Drosophila melanogaster: one gene and its partner. The protein of the gene in region 2 purifies or fractionates together with the protein of the main gene of each other region. This does not show direct contact. Each region holds a gene or a part of one and is shown on either strand. Other genes may lie near its edges.

Region 1 (4,056 bases), on a different chromosome or scaffold from region 2:
CATATTCACCTGGCATTATGTTCCCATGGGATCACTCACCGTGACAAACATCCACGTGGGCTCGCTCTTCTTGTTGAATCGCTTCAGATAGGATATGGAGCCCGCCTTGCACTGGCATATATTGGAAAAGATGGGGATGTTAGTGCGCTACGCCTCGGTGCTTCCGACTGTGTGATCTTACGATGGCCAACTGCAGGTTGTCGCCTCCTAGCTCGAGCTTGATCTTCCGCAGGCTACCCACCATGCCGAGGCAGGGACCGCACCATTCGGAGTATATATCGAGCACTGAAGCACTCAGGGATTAGAGCGAGATTACTGGGTGGACTAATGGCTAACCATCGCATCGAGAACGTACCCAGCAATCCGGATCGCTGCAGGAACTTCTCGAACTCCTCATCCGAGGCGAGGTCGGCCTGAAGCTGCTGGACTCCTCCCTTCTTCGCCATTTTTTGCGCACTGAATGGGCCATCAATCAGATACCGAACTAAACACCCAACCAGCTATTGATCAAACAGTGGTTGCCAGGACTTAAAAGGTCACTCAGTATTTTGGCACAATCAATCAATCAACAATCCCAGTTCCCAAATGGGGTAACAAATGCGCAGGAGCTGCTGAGTCGAGCTAGGAAGCTACCCATATAATACAGGGTATTTATTATAAACCCGAAAACTTTTCTATCCTTCTGCTAGCACTAAAAAAAAGGACATCACCACAAGGACATTATTATAAGGTGTGTTGAAAGTCAGCTTTCCTCCAATCAATCAATCAAATACAGATTGAACTTTATATGCCAGGGGGTTTATTTTCTTTTTATTCTCAAAATGGTTTTCTATGCAGCAGCACATTAGTAAATGGGAATCGGTCGATAAAGCACATGGCGATGGCGATGGCGATGGCTGTGGCTATGCCCACATCCGCCGCGAATCGTTCCACTTAGTGATCGTGTCGCATTTGTCTGCGCAGCTCGCGCATTGTGATCTGCAAAAAAAAAACTGGATATGGTCAGAGGATCGTGTGCGGGCTAGATGGGTGGTCATAGCGTTGGCGTTAGATACTGGTTGTCATTTACGATGATGAAGTAATCAAGTTGCTTACGTTATTTACCTTCAGAACTGTGGAACAATCTTTGTGTTTGTGGTTATTTACGCATCGGCTTACGAAATCTTTAAATAATTTCAAAGTCAATAGAATTATCGAGAATTTGTGCTGAATTTGGTAACGGAGCGGTCATGTAACTTAATTACAGGCTTAGTTTCGGTTGGGAAATAATGCACGCAAATACTGGCGCCGGGGGATTGGTTCGCAAGCGGGATGGGAATCCGGTCATAATCGAATCGCATGTTATCACCGGGCAGATCACGGGATTATGGGTTATTTACATTGCTAAATTAACTAGAATTCAATGGGCTGCGAAGTGATGCGCTCGCGCCCATTTCAAATGGTGGATCGGGATTAGTTAGACATAAATGCGTTTTCGGGCGCTACTGGGTTGATATCGTATCAATTCATATCTATATGTTCCAGTCGTACAGGCTGCGTGTACGGTATGACCGACTTTTTGTTGACGTCCCTGGATAAGGCCTTTCTCATGTCTGCAAAGTGGGTAAAGCATCGATTGTTAGGCGCCTCTTAGAAGTCAATGCAAATTCTGTGCGCTCTCACCGTACGCATCCTCGTCCTGGTCGCCGGAGTAGTACTCAAGTATGGTGCGGTATATGATGTAGCCAAGGTTCGTGTACATGTTTATTGCCACCTGGTTGCTCTTCCTCACAAAAAGATCCACAAAGTATGCTCGCTTTCTGGGGGCGAGAAAAAGTAGTCGTTTAGTCTGTATTGATATCCAACGAATTGGGGCTGGAATTACTTCTCCGAAATGTCCTCCAGGAAACTCATGAGCAGCGCAGCCAGACCAAGGCGCCGGTAGTCGGGCGAGACGGTCAGCGCAGTCACGTGTCCGTGCCAGTTGTCCAGGTGTCCCTCCACCTTGCCCATGACTAGAGAATGTAGAGCACACTTGATAGGGGAACTCGTGCACACAGTGAAATGCAGTACTTACTGTAGCCCATTATTTGTCCGCTGGGCGACTCCGCAAGCTGAAAGTACTCCGGCCACTTGGCCAGGTACTGGGTGTAGAAGGACAGCCCGTAGGTCTCCGTAAGTGGGTCAAAGTTTCTGGCGGAGCACACGGCGGTATTGGTATTAGCCTCGGATATGCGCATGTGGATATCCACTGTACTCACACATTGTTGAACTTAAAGAGGTCGTCGCAGGTGAAGGGTCGCAACGTGGTCATCTTATCACTTAATCTCGGCTAATCCGATCCTTTTTATTGCTCCTATAAAATTGCTATACTCGCCGGCAATAGAGATGCGCCGCGGTCGATGGCAAGTTATCGATAGCCTGGAAGCGAGCTTTCCCACAAATCGGTTACCGCGCAATGCAGCCGCGGTCACACTACTAGCACTTCCATTTCCACGCTAGGTCCTGTCCTCGCTCTTCTTCTTCCTCTGCCTCCAGCTGGTATCTGTTGCCTGGCCATGGAACAGTCTCAGTCTCAACGGCAGGCGTGGCCTTCGTCCTCCGCGGGGGGTGGCAAGGCCCAGGACTCCGGGGTGCTGACGCGCGAGGACTTCGACGGCGGACCGGTCAGCATCGACGAGGTGGACACAGGCCTGTTTCTAGGTAAGCATATAGCTCTAATCCTTGTGATCGATGCATTTCTCAACCCTTCCTTACACCACCAGGCAACCTGACCGCGGCGACGCACATGGAGACGCTGCGCTCCTTCAAGATCACCCACATCCTCACGCTGGATTCGGTCCCGCTGCCGCAGCACATTCTGGAGGCCAGCTTTCTGACCACCAAATATATACAGAGTAAGCACACAGATCGGTAGCTTCGTGAATGTGCAACAACTTCACTGGCGTTAATCCCTGTTTCAGTTGCCGACATGCCGCGCGAAGATATTCTGCAGCATCTGGAGGGCTGCGTTGACTTTATCAGCTCGGCCCTGGCCCAGCAGGGCAATGTCCTTGTGCACTGGTGAGCATCTTACCTAGGCTGACCGGCCCACGATTTGGCCACTGACTCTTTGTGCCTTCCAACAGCTACTTCGGCGTCAGTCGCAGCTCATCCACTGTGATCGCTTACATGATGAAGCGACACAATCTGGACTTCCTGCCCGCCTACGAGCTGGTCAAGGCCAAACGGCGCTTCGTCCAGCCAAACGCTGGCTTTGTCAGCCAACTAAAGCTCTTCCGGCGCATGGGCTGCAAGATTGACCCCAACTGCCAGCGCTACAAGATCCATCGCCTGCGCCTGGCTGGCGAGCAGATGCGCAAGGCCAAGATCCTGCCGCAAAGCTTCCACAGCGTGGTCCGTCCGGATCCAGATATAACGCGCGAGAACCCGGAGCCCATAGTGTTCCGCTGTCGTCGTTGCCGCCGCGTCCTCGCCTCCAAGTCGCATGTACTGGAGCACAAGCCGCGTGACAGGCCGCCGCAGGAGGTGGTACCCAAGGAGAAAGAAGAAGTCGCTGCAGCTAAGCTGCCGGCTCAGTCACATGATCAGGCCGAAAATCATCATGGTGCTCGCATGCTGGAGCAGCTGTCCGAGCGCATCCGCCAGTCATCACTCGGTTCACCCGGCCACGAAAGCACGCCAAACTATTGCCGCAGCATACTGTTTGTGGAGCCCATCGCCTGGATGCACCGCATCATGCTGAACACCCAGGGCCGCCTGTACTGTCCCAAGTGCGAGCAGAAATTGGGAAACTTTAGCTGGATCAACGGTTGGCTATGCTGCTCCACCAGCCGATAATCCCGCCCCCCACTCATTCCTCCTAATTTATTGCAGCCTGCAAGTGTCCGTGCGGGGAGACGATGACGCCTGCATTTTATCTGATACCTTCCAAGGTGGAGCTCTCGAAGGCCGTGCAGAACGTGCAGACCACGGTTTAGGTGCAGCGTGCTGGAAATAGAGCGAGATGGCATCATCAGAGACGGGACAATTGGACTCCCTTGTCGGCTGGCAAAGAACGGCAATCGCCCACCTAAA
Region 2 (7,181 bases):
ATCTTTTGGAACCTCTATTAATTAACTACAAGTAGAGACTAGCTAATTAATTGTATTTCCTCCACAGAACCCATCGAAATGAGCGTCCTTATGCCTGCAAGACCTGCGGAAAGAAGTTCACATATGCCAGTGTCCTTAAAATGCACTACAAGACGCACACGGGCGAAAAACCCCACATGTAAGTGGTTTCGGTTTTAAACTAAATCAAACCTAAAACTTATCACGTTGCTATTATTACTTCAGATGCCAACTCTGCAACAAAAGCTTCGCTCGCATTCACAATCTCGTGGCGCATCTGCAAACGCAACAGCATATAAATGATCCACGACTGACTGCCTATCTAAGTACCTTTAAAGTGGGGATTACTGTAGCTAATGCTTAATAATATAATATTTATAAGATCGCGACATTTTACCTTTGCTTAAAGCCTAAAACTTTGTATATACGACCTTTGTTATATAAAGTTTGCTAGAAAGATTTCATGAAACTAACTAAAAAGCATTCTAAAAAAAAAAACAAACTGTTTACATTTTTACAATTTATTCTTTTACTTGACTTACTTGCAAAGCGGTACGCAATCTTTTTTCTTTGTTTTGTTCTTTTCTAATTTTTGTTTTACAAAATTTTACAACTTTTATGTGTTGTACGAGGGAAATGCCGAAAAGTGATTGATAAGTGCTGACTTGGCGCTGGTGTTCGAGATAATTGTAGTGTAGGAGGATTATGAGGTCGGTTGTATCCGTTAACAAAATTAAATAACAAACTATGAACTTGGATTGTGTGGGGGCAACGATGACCGGACTGGCTGGCTGATGGCCTTTGCACAGCAAAGAAGCATCTACTTGGCCACCATGCGTATCTTGTCCTTCAGCAGATTGCGCAGCTCGGTGACCATCAGCTCGTGCGAGTCCTTAAAGGTGGCCGAAACGTCGCCGATGAGCGTGGCTTCCACCTCCGGCTTCAGCGACATGTCAGACATAAAGGAGCTGAGGTCGCGTGGCAAAACGGGCGCCTTCCAGGAGCCTAAGGATTGCAGAATCATACCTTAGTTTATCTTTGGGCGATTTGTCTAGAGCCACTTACGTATGGCCGTGTCGCAGGCCTCAAACTTGTGCTTCAGCTGTCGCATCAGCTCCTGCAACATCTGGCTGCGCTCCTTCTCGCTGATCGGCTGCGGTCCATCCACCTTGTTTTCCACCGGCTTCTTCTTGGTCTTGGTCTTTGAGCTTACCTGCAGCTTGTCGTTCAACACGGACAGAAGGAAGGCGTACAGCGATAGCATCTGGAAAAGTTATAAGAACATTGGTGAATTTAAGATTACCTGCTTTTACTACCAACATTTTACCTCTAAACTGGCTGCCACTTTCTGCTGCTGACCTCGCCGCTTCCACAGACCGTCAATGCCGTTGCTTTCGTTGCTCTCGTTGATGGTCTGCACGCACAGCTCCATAGTCGCAATAACATTGTCACCCACCCGCTTGCACTGCTCGGCCAGCTTTGCCGACCCGCTCTGCAAGTCAAGGACCAACTGGGCAAGGTCGTCAAAGAAACGTTCGTATGGCATGTCGAGCAGCAGGTGAAGACGTGTGGGCAGCAGATTGACTAGAAATTTTTGCGCCAACGGCTTGTAGTTCATCACGCGCAATCTCTGGAATAATCCCGTCCAGGACTCCCGCAGGAGCTCCAAGGTGGCCGTCTCTGCTCCCGCTGGCGAATCCTTTAAGCCCGCGCCGTGGTACAAGTCGATGAAAGAGGCAAAGAGTCGAAGCATCAGCGAACGTACTTGAAGCACCTCAACTTCCTGGTCGAACGACTCCCTGCGCTCCTCCGCAGCGTCTACCTCATGTAGCGGATCCCATCGGATAATGGCCCCTAAGTCGCGATTGTCGCTCAACTCATGCCAAGCGATCCGGTCCTCCGCCGGCTCAATACTCATCGCCACATATGCGGATAGATTCTGCGTGATATTGCCATAGCAACTAACCAAGTCACAGATCTGCGCCTCCACCGAGCAGGCCACGTACTGCAAGCTGTTGGTTAACCGCTCCTTGAAGTTCATGAACTCCTCCATTTTTGAAAACGTGCAAAAGCGATATGTTAACGCAATGTATTCCAGCCTTTCCTTATAGCTGTTCGTAAAAAACTTTAGGGTGGCATCGTACACGTTACGATTGCCCGAGAAGCGACCTCCAAGAGCCAACAGTTGGCAGTGCACATAGCCCATGGAGTCCAGCTGAATCTGCTTAATGTCCAGATACTCATACATCTCCTGTGCGCCCACTTGGCAGCCAAACAGATGGTAGATCTTTAGACTTAGCAGTTTCACGTGGAAGTTACTCGTACTGTTTCGCAGAACATACTGCAGCAGGCACAGCGCCTCGAACAGGTGATCCGACTTATTTTCCCGCCTACTCAGATCGTACATTACATTTGCCGCCAGCAGTGCGTATGCATCCGATGGTCCCATTTCCGTAGCCAGCAACTTCTTACCGAAAGTAGTCCTGCCGTGCTCGTAGTGCAGCTTGAGCGCCGTATAGAAGGCAAGCAGGTGGTCCGCAGGCAGATCCATGTGGGATCCGCACATTCGAGAGATTTGCAGAGCGCAAAGATGTTTTTGCAACTGCTCTTTCTACAATAATCATATACCAACAATCGTTAGACTCAAAGTTGAATTTATAATTTTTGCGTACTTACATTTTTTGGAAGCGACGTGGAGGTTACTCCGCTCTCCAACAACAACTTGCTGGCTAGCGCTTGCCTCTGGTTCATGCTGATCGAAGGCAAGAACAAGGCGATATCGTGAGTGCAGCACGATTTGTCGCCGAACAGACGGAAGTACTCAATGACCATCTCGTCAAAGTCACCGATTAGTTTTTCCGCCGGCAATTGCTCCGCTCGCATGCGTTGGTGTAGCTCCAACCGCGCCAGATAGGGTCCCCTTTTCTTGCGCTCCGAGGAGTCAATGATGCGCTGAAGGAACTCCTGACACCTGGCCAGAGAGTCCTTATCCCCGTTCTCCACGCCCTGCGGCGTAAGTTTTAGCAGCTCGAACGAGCTTTGGATATACTCCTTGTAGAAGTCCCAACGATCACGACTTGGGGATAAAAAATAAAACTTAGAAAACGTAGTTATACATATGAACTTATTGTTTAAGCTCACTCTGCGTCCAGCAGCTGCTGCAGCAGCTCATTCAATTCCCGCCAGTTTCCCAGCTCCTTGAGCAGCTCGAACTTCATGCTGACTGGAGCACCGGGGTACAGCTTCGCGCACAGCTCACCAGTAAGGAATTCCCACGCCTCCTGGTACTTGTTTTGTAGCTTAAGTATGTGCAGATAGAGGAAGGCCTCCTGTTCCGTCTCCATTTTGCCCTCCTTGATGTGCTTGTCGACCATGCGTTGCGCCAGTCCCAAGTAGATTTTCCGCTTCTCGGGCAGCGCCGATTCCGGTCCACGGATTCCCTGGAAGACTACGCTGATCACCGACCAAAAGTAGTAGGCATTTTTCGGCTGCGCCTTGTACAGCTGCAGGGCCACCGCCTGCTGCGCCTTGTAGTCCTCCACCCTCACATGTGAGATGAAGAGGTGGGCGAGGAGCTCCTCGTTGCCCGGATTCTGCTTCACAGCGTGCTGGTACAGCTCCACAATTTTGTCCACTGCAAAGAGGCCGATATTTATATATTATTAGCGATTTCAACTTTCGCAGGTACAGGTATCTATATATTCAGATCGTTGGCACGCACTTGCCACTCGTCGTCCGACTAAGAGAATGCGATTTTAATTAGTCGGGCGAGGTGCGCGTGCCAAGAAAATACGAAAATATGAATTGTGGCCACTTCGTGTGCGTAGCAGGGGCGTCTCTAGGGGATTCACAGATGTGGCTAAGAAACATTCTTACTTAAAAATGTTGCTTTGTATTCGTCAATCGAATTTAAAAAAGCTCAACAAATTGTATCCTTTGATCGACCATGGTTTCGTATTTAAATAACTTAAGTAAATATTAATATTATCTTTAAATCTATACTTTAAAATATTTTGTATATACATATACATACATATACAAGCATTTAACTCATGGATAAGGAAGCTATTCTTTTTATAAAATTTCAATTCTAGAATGCCTGTAACCTTTACACATTTGAAAGGAGAAATCTAAATCCTTAATTATTATCTATACATACAATGAGTCCTTGCCTCACACAGGCATTTCGTTTTTAGATTTAAAATTGGATATTAACTTACAAAAGGTTCTTCATAACTTAAAAGTGTGCTTCACAAGTCAAATTCATAAATGAAACTAATAATTTATAGCCTATCAGGAGCTACTTGTGAACAAATTAGTTATTTCTGATGGCTGGTGCCCTTCTTCATCGCGTTAGAACGAGAGACTAGGTTCGTGCTTTAAGAGTTTATGGCTAGTTGGTTATATCATACTCCTAAATAACTTCTACTTGAGGTAATGTACCTCCTAGACCATGCTTAGTACGTTATCAATCTTGCATTTGACTGAACCTAATCCCCAGCAAACGGTGGCTCCACGTGGGCTCAGTACATCAGCCCTGCCGGTGGTTTACCCATACGTACGTTGTTCCATTTCGCGGTAGCAGAAGGACAGCACCTGCAGCGTGGAGTCGTCCGTGGGCTTCTCCTCGGCAACGGTCTGGAGGCATCCGTGGCTTTCGTCATAGCGTCCCAGTCGCAGGAGCGAGAGGCCTTTCAATGCCCGCGCGCAGAGCAGGTTGGGATGTTTGCGTAGCAACTTCTCGGATTCCTGCAGAGCCTTGCGATTGTTGCCCACCTCCAGGTTGTCTGCAAAGGATTGGGATGTTAGTCTGTGAGACTGTGGACCCGGCACATGGAGCGCCTCATTCCGCCGTGGACACGGACAACACACTCACCGTATACCGGCCGCAGTCGCCGCTCGAACAGGGCCGAGTCCATGCCCTGCTGCTGTGCCATGTTATCGTGTTATGTGGTGCTGCTGTATGCTGCTAACCTAATTACAACGTGCTGCATGCACCTCGAACTGAGACTCGCTCTCTTTTGGGTTTTGCGGCACGCTGTCGTCTGCCGTTGATTAATTTCCTGCAATCGTTTGGGGGCTCTCCTTGGGTTGCCCTCGGTGTTTGGGCGGTCGGGGACGGGCGGCTGGCTCTCGGGCACTCGAATCACACGGTCGTAGGCTAATTATGTGCTTATTTTCATAGAAACTAGTGACTTTAAATTTTATTCAAAATAAAAAAAACCTCAGACTGCATATTCGGTGAGAAGAGAGCGGCCCCTGTATTTTCTCCAGTATTTTCTGGTATTTTTCGAGAAGAGCATGCCGACATTAGGGGTCTTCGCTCAAATCACAAATTTAAGCCATCAAGATACTCTTATTGGGAAACTTTTAAAATTCCATTCAATCATTCTGCTTAGAATTTTAAGGTTAGAATATGTCTTGTACAAAAGTGAATTTCTAATAGTAGTTTTTAGTAATTTTGTTATTATCTATGATCAACAAAGTATTGATATTCTTCAAAAAGTAGAAATGTTCATAACTGTAATTCTTTATATTTCAGATTAAGTTTTCAAAAAAAACTTAAGATTTTATAAAAACAGTGACAAGAGTACCCCTACCGCTGGGCACTTTGTCCAACAGCTGAGCGATAGAGATGGACTGATATATTCTCACGAATGGTAGCTTGCCAGCGAACGATGAATGGCAGAAAAGAGTTTATCAATTTATTCGAGTGCCAATTAGATAATTTAAGCTTTGTAGTTGCACGGCGCACCGGACAGGTTGATTAGAAATCGTGAATGAGTCAGCGTGAGTCACGCACCTGCCACGCACCACGCCAGTTGCCCATCTCTAGCTGCTGCCCCCGAAAGTCGAAAACGCGTAAAGTTTTCGAATAAAATGCAGAGATTAGCCGATTAGGCGGCGCGCGGGCTCGTAACCAAACGTTTTGAAGTATTAAACTACCGATTAAGAAACACATCCACTTAGTGAAATAGTTTAAGTAACCGCCCGAGCACCGTTATCGCCGCTTTTCCGCTTTTCCTCGCTGCCAAATTGCGCTGCATGTCCATTTTTGGTGAAGAATTTCTCGCCAAAAATCTTGCCCTTGGCCGGACGCAATGAGCGATGAGATTTAACTGGCTGAGCGAGTACGTGGCCAGCATATCAAGCAGCATTGCATCGACATCCCCGTGGCGCCAACTGCAGCAGCAGGTGCAGCAGCTCGTCCCCAATCCTCAGGCCATCTACTGCCGTATCAGGTCATCATCCGCCGAAGCACTGGAGCACGTACTGATCGCCTGTGCGGTGTACTTGCTAGTATGCCTGGGCCTCTACAAGCTCACCTTCTGGCTCTCGGGAGCCGGATCGGGATCGGGACTGGACGCCCACCACAACGGCAACGACACCAGCAATGCCGGGTCGGGCGAGGGGGCAGAGCTGAACCCAAGTTCGGATGGCAATCGGAGTCCTGGCGGCCTGAAGCAGGCCCTTCAGTCCGGAATACGGCTGCGTAGCGTCCGGCTGCCCAAAACGGCGTGCATGGAGCGCGTCCTGCTGATCACCGCCCATCCGGATGACGAGTGCATGTTCTTCGGACCGCTGATCTACTCGCTGACGCAGCGCCAAGGCTGCCAGGTGTATATACTCTGCTTGTCCAACGGTGAGACCACCAGCAGTGACATCATCCCCAAACCACCAATAGATCTGGAAGCATTAAACGAAAGTACACATTTCGAAATCAGTAGCGAATCTGACTTAGCTTTATTGCTGCCATATGGGCACAGCATTCTCTTTGTGTTAGCCAACAATCGATTTCGTGCAATATATGTAGTCCGTATTGGAATTTTTAATAATCTTTAAATGTTATATATTCCTGCCCATTCTACTGTTATTATTTTAATTATTGCAAAGATTCAGGGGCTACACCGATGTTATCTTTTTATAGATAATAAAAAATAATACCGAGCTGATAGTAATGTAGGGCCGATTTGTATATTTCTTTCTTTAAAATTTAGATATTCATTTAAAAATCAACTATTAATCCTTTCAATATAATAACGTACTGATTCGGAATAATTGTATGACTTCTTAATCATCAATTACTATTTAAGTTTCGCTAAATAACTGCTTTCAATGTATTGAAAATTGTTTTAAGTGTGTGCTTTAAAATGACATCATTA

What was found.
Region 1: the proteins of psidin (region 2) and Naa20A purify together in Drosophila melanogaster (affinity purification with western blotting; 2 studies listed by BioGRID, with this or other methods). This does not show direct contact.

The regions. Positions count from the first base shown.
Region 1 is NC_004354.4:19,620,673-19,624,728, forward strand, and holds Naa20A (N(alpha)-acetyltransferase 20 A), read right to left. Parts: upstream 2,403-4,056; 5' UTR 2,294-2,402; coding exon 2,241-2,293; intron 2,173-2,240; coding exon 2,057-2,172; intron 1,995-2,056; coding exon 1,865-1,994; intron 1,800-1,864; coding exon 1,663-1,799; intron 1,593-1,662; coding exon 1,531-1,592; coding exon of another isoform or gene 1,501-1,530; exon of another isoform or gene 1,096-1,500; intron 993-1,095; exon of another isoform or gene 979-992; coding exon 934-978; 3' UTR 779-933; downstream 1-778. Other genes in the region: CG14221 (uncharacterized protein), read right to left, coding at 40-111, 182-285, 356-446; MKP-4 (MAPK phosphatase 4), read left to right, coding at 2,538-2,682, 2,745-2,876, 2,943-3,042, 3,108-3,790, 3,856-3,959.
Region 2 is NT_033777.3:20,019,828-20,027,008, reverse strand, and holds psidin (phagocyte signaling impaired), read right to left. Parts: upstream 5,306-7,181; 5' UTR 4,956-5,305; coding exon 4,895-4,955; intron 4,806-4,894; coding exon 4,581-4,805; intron 3,653-4,580; coding exon 3,160-3,652; intron 3,095-3,159; coding exon 2,695-3,094; intron 2,630-2,694; coding exon 1,346-2,629; intron 1,283-1,345; coding exon 1,084-1,282; intron 1,024-1,083; coding exon 839-1,023; 3' UTR 527-838; downstream 1-526. Other genes in the region: CG4424 (uncharacterized protein), read left to right, coding at 68-178, 244-382; PIG-L (phosphatidylinositol glycan anchor biosynthesis class L), read left to right, coding at 6,127-6,661.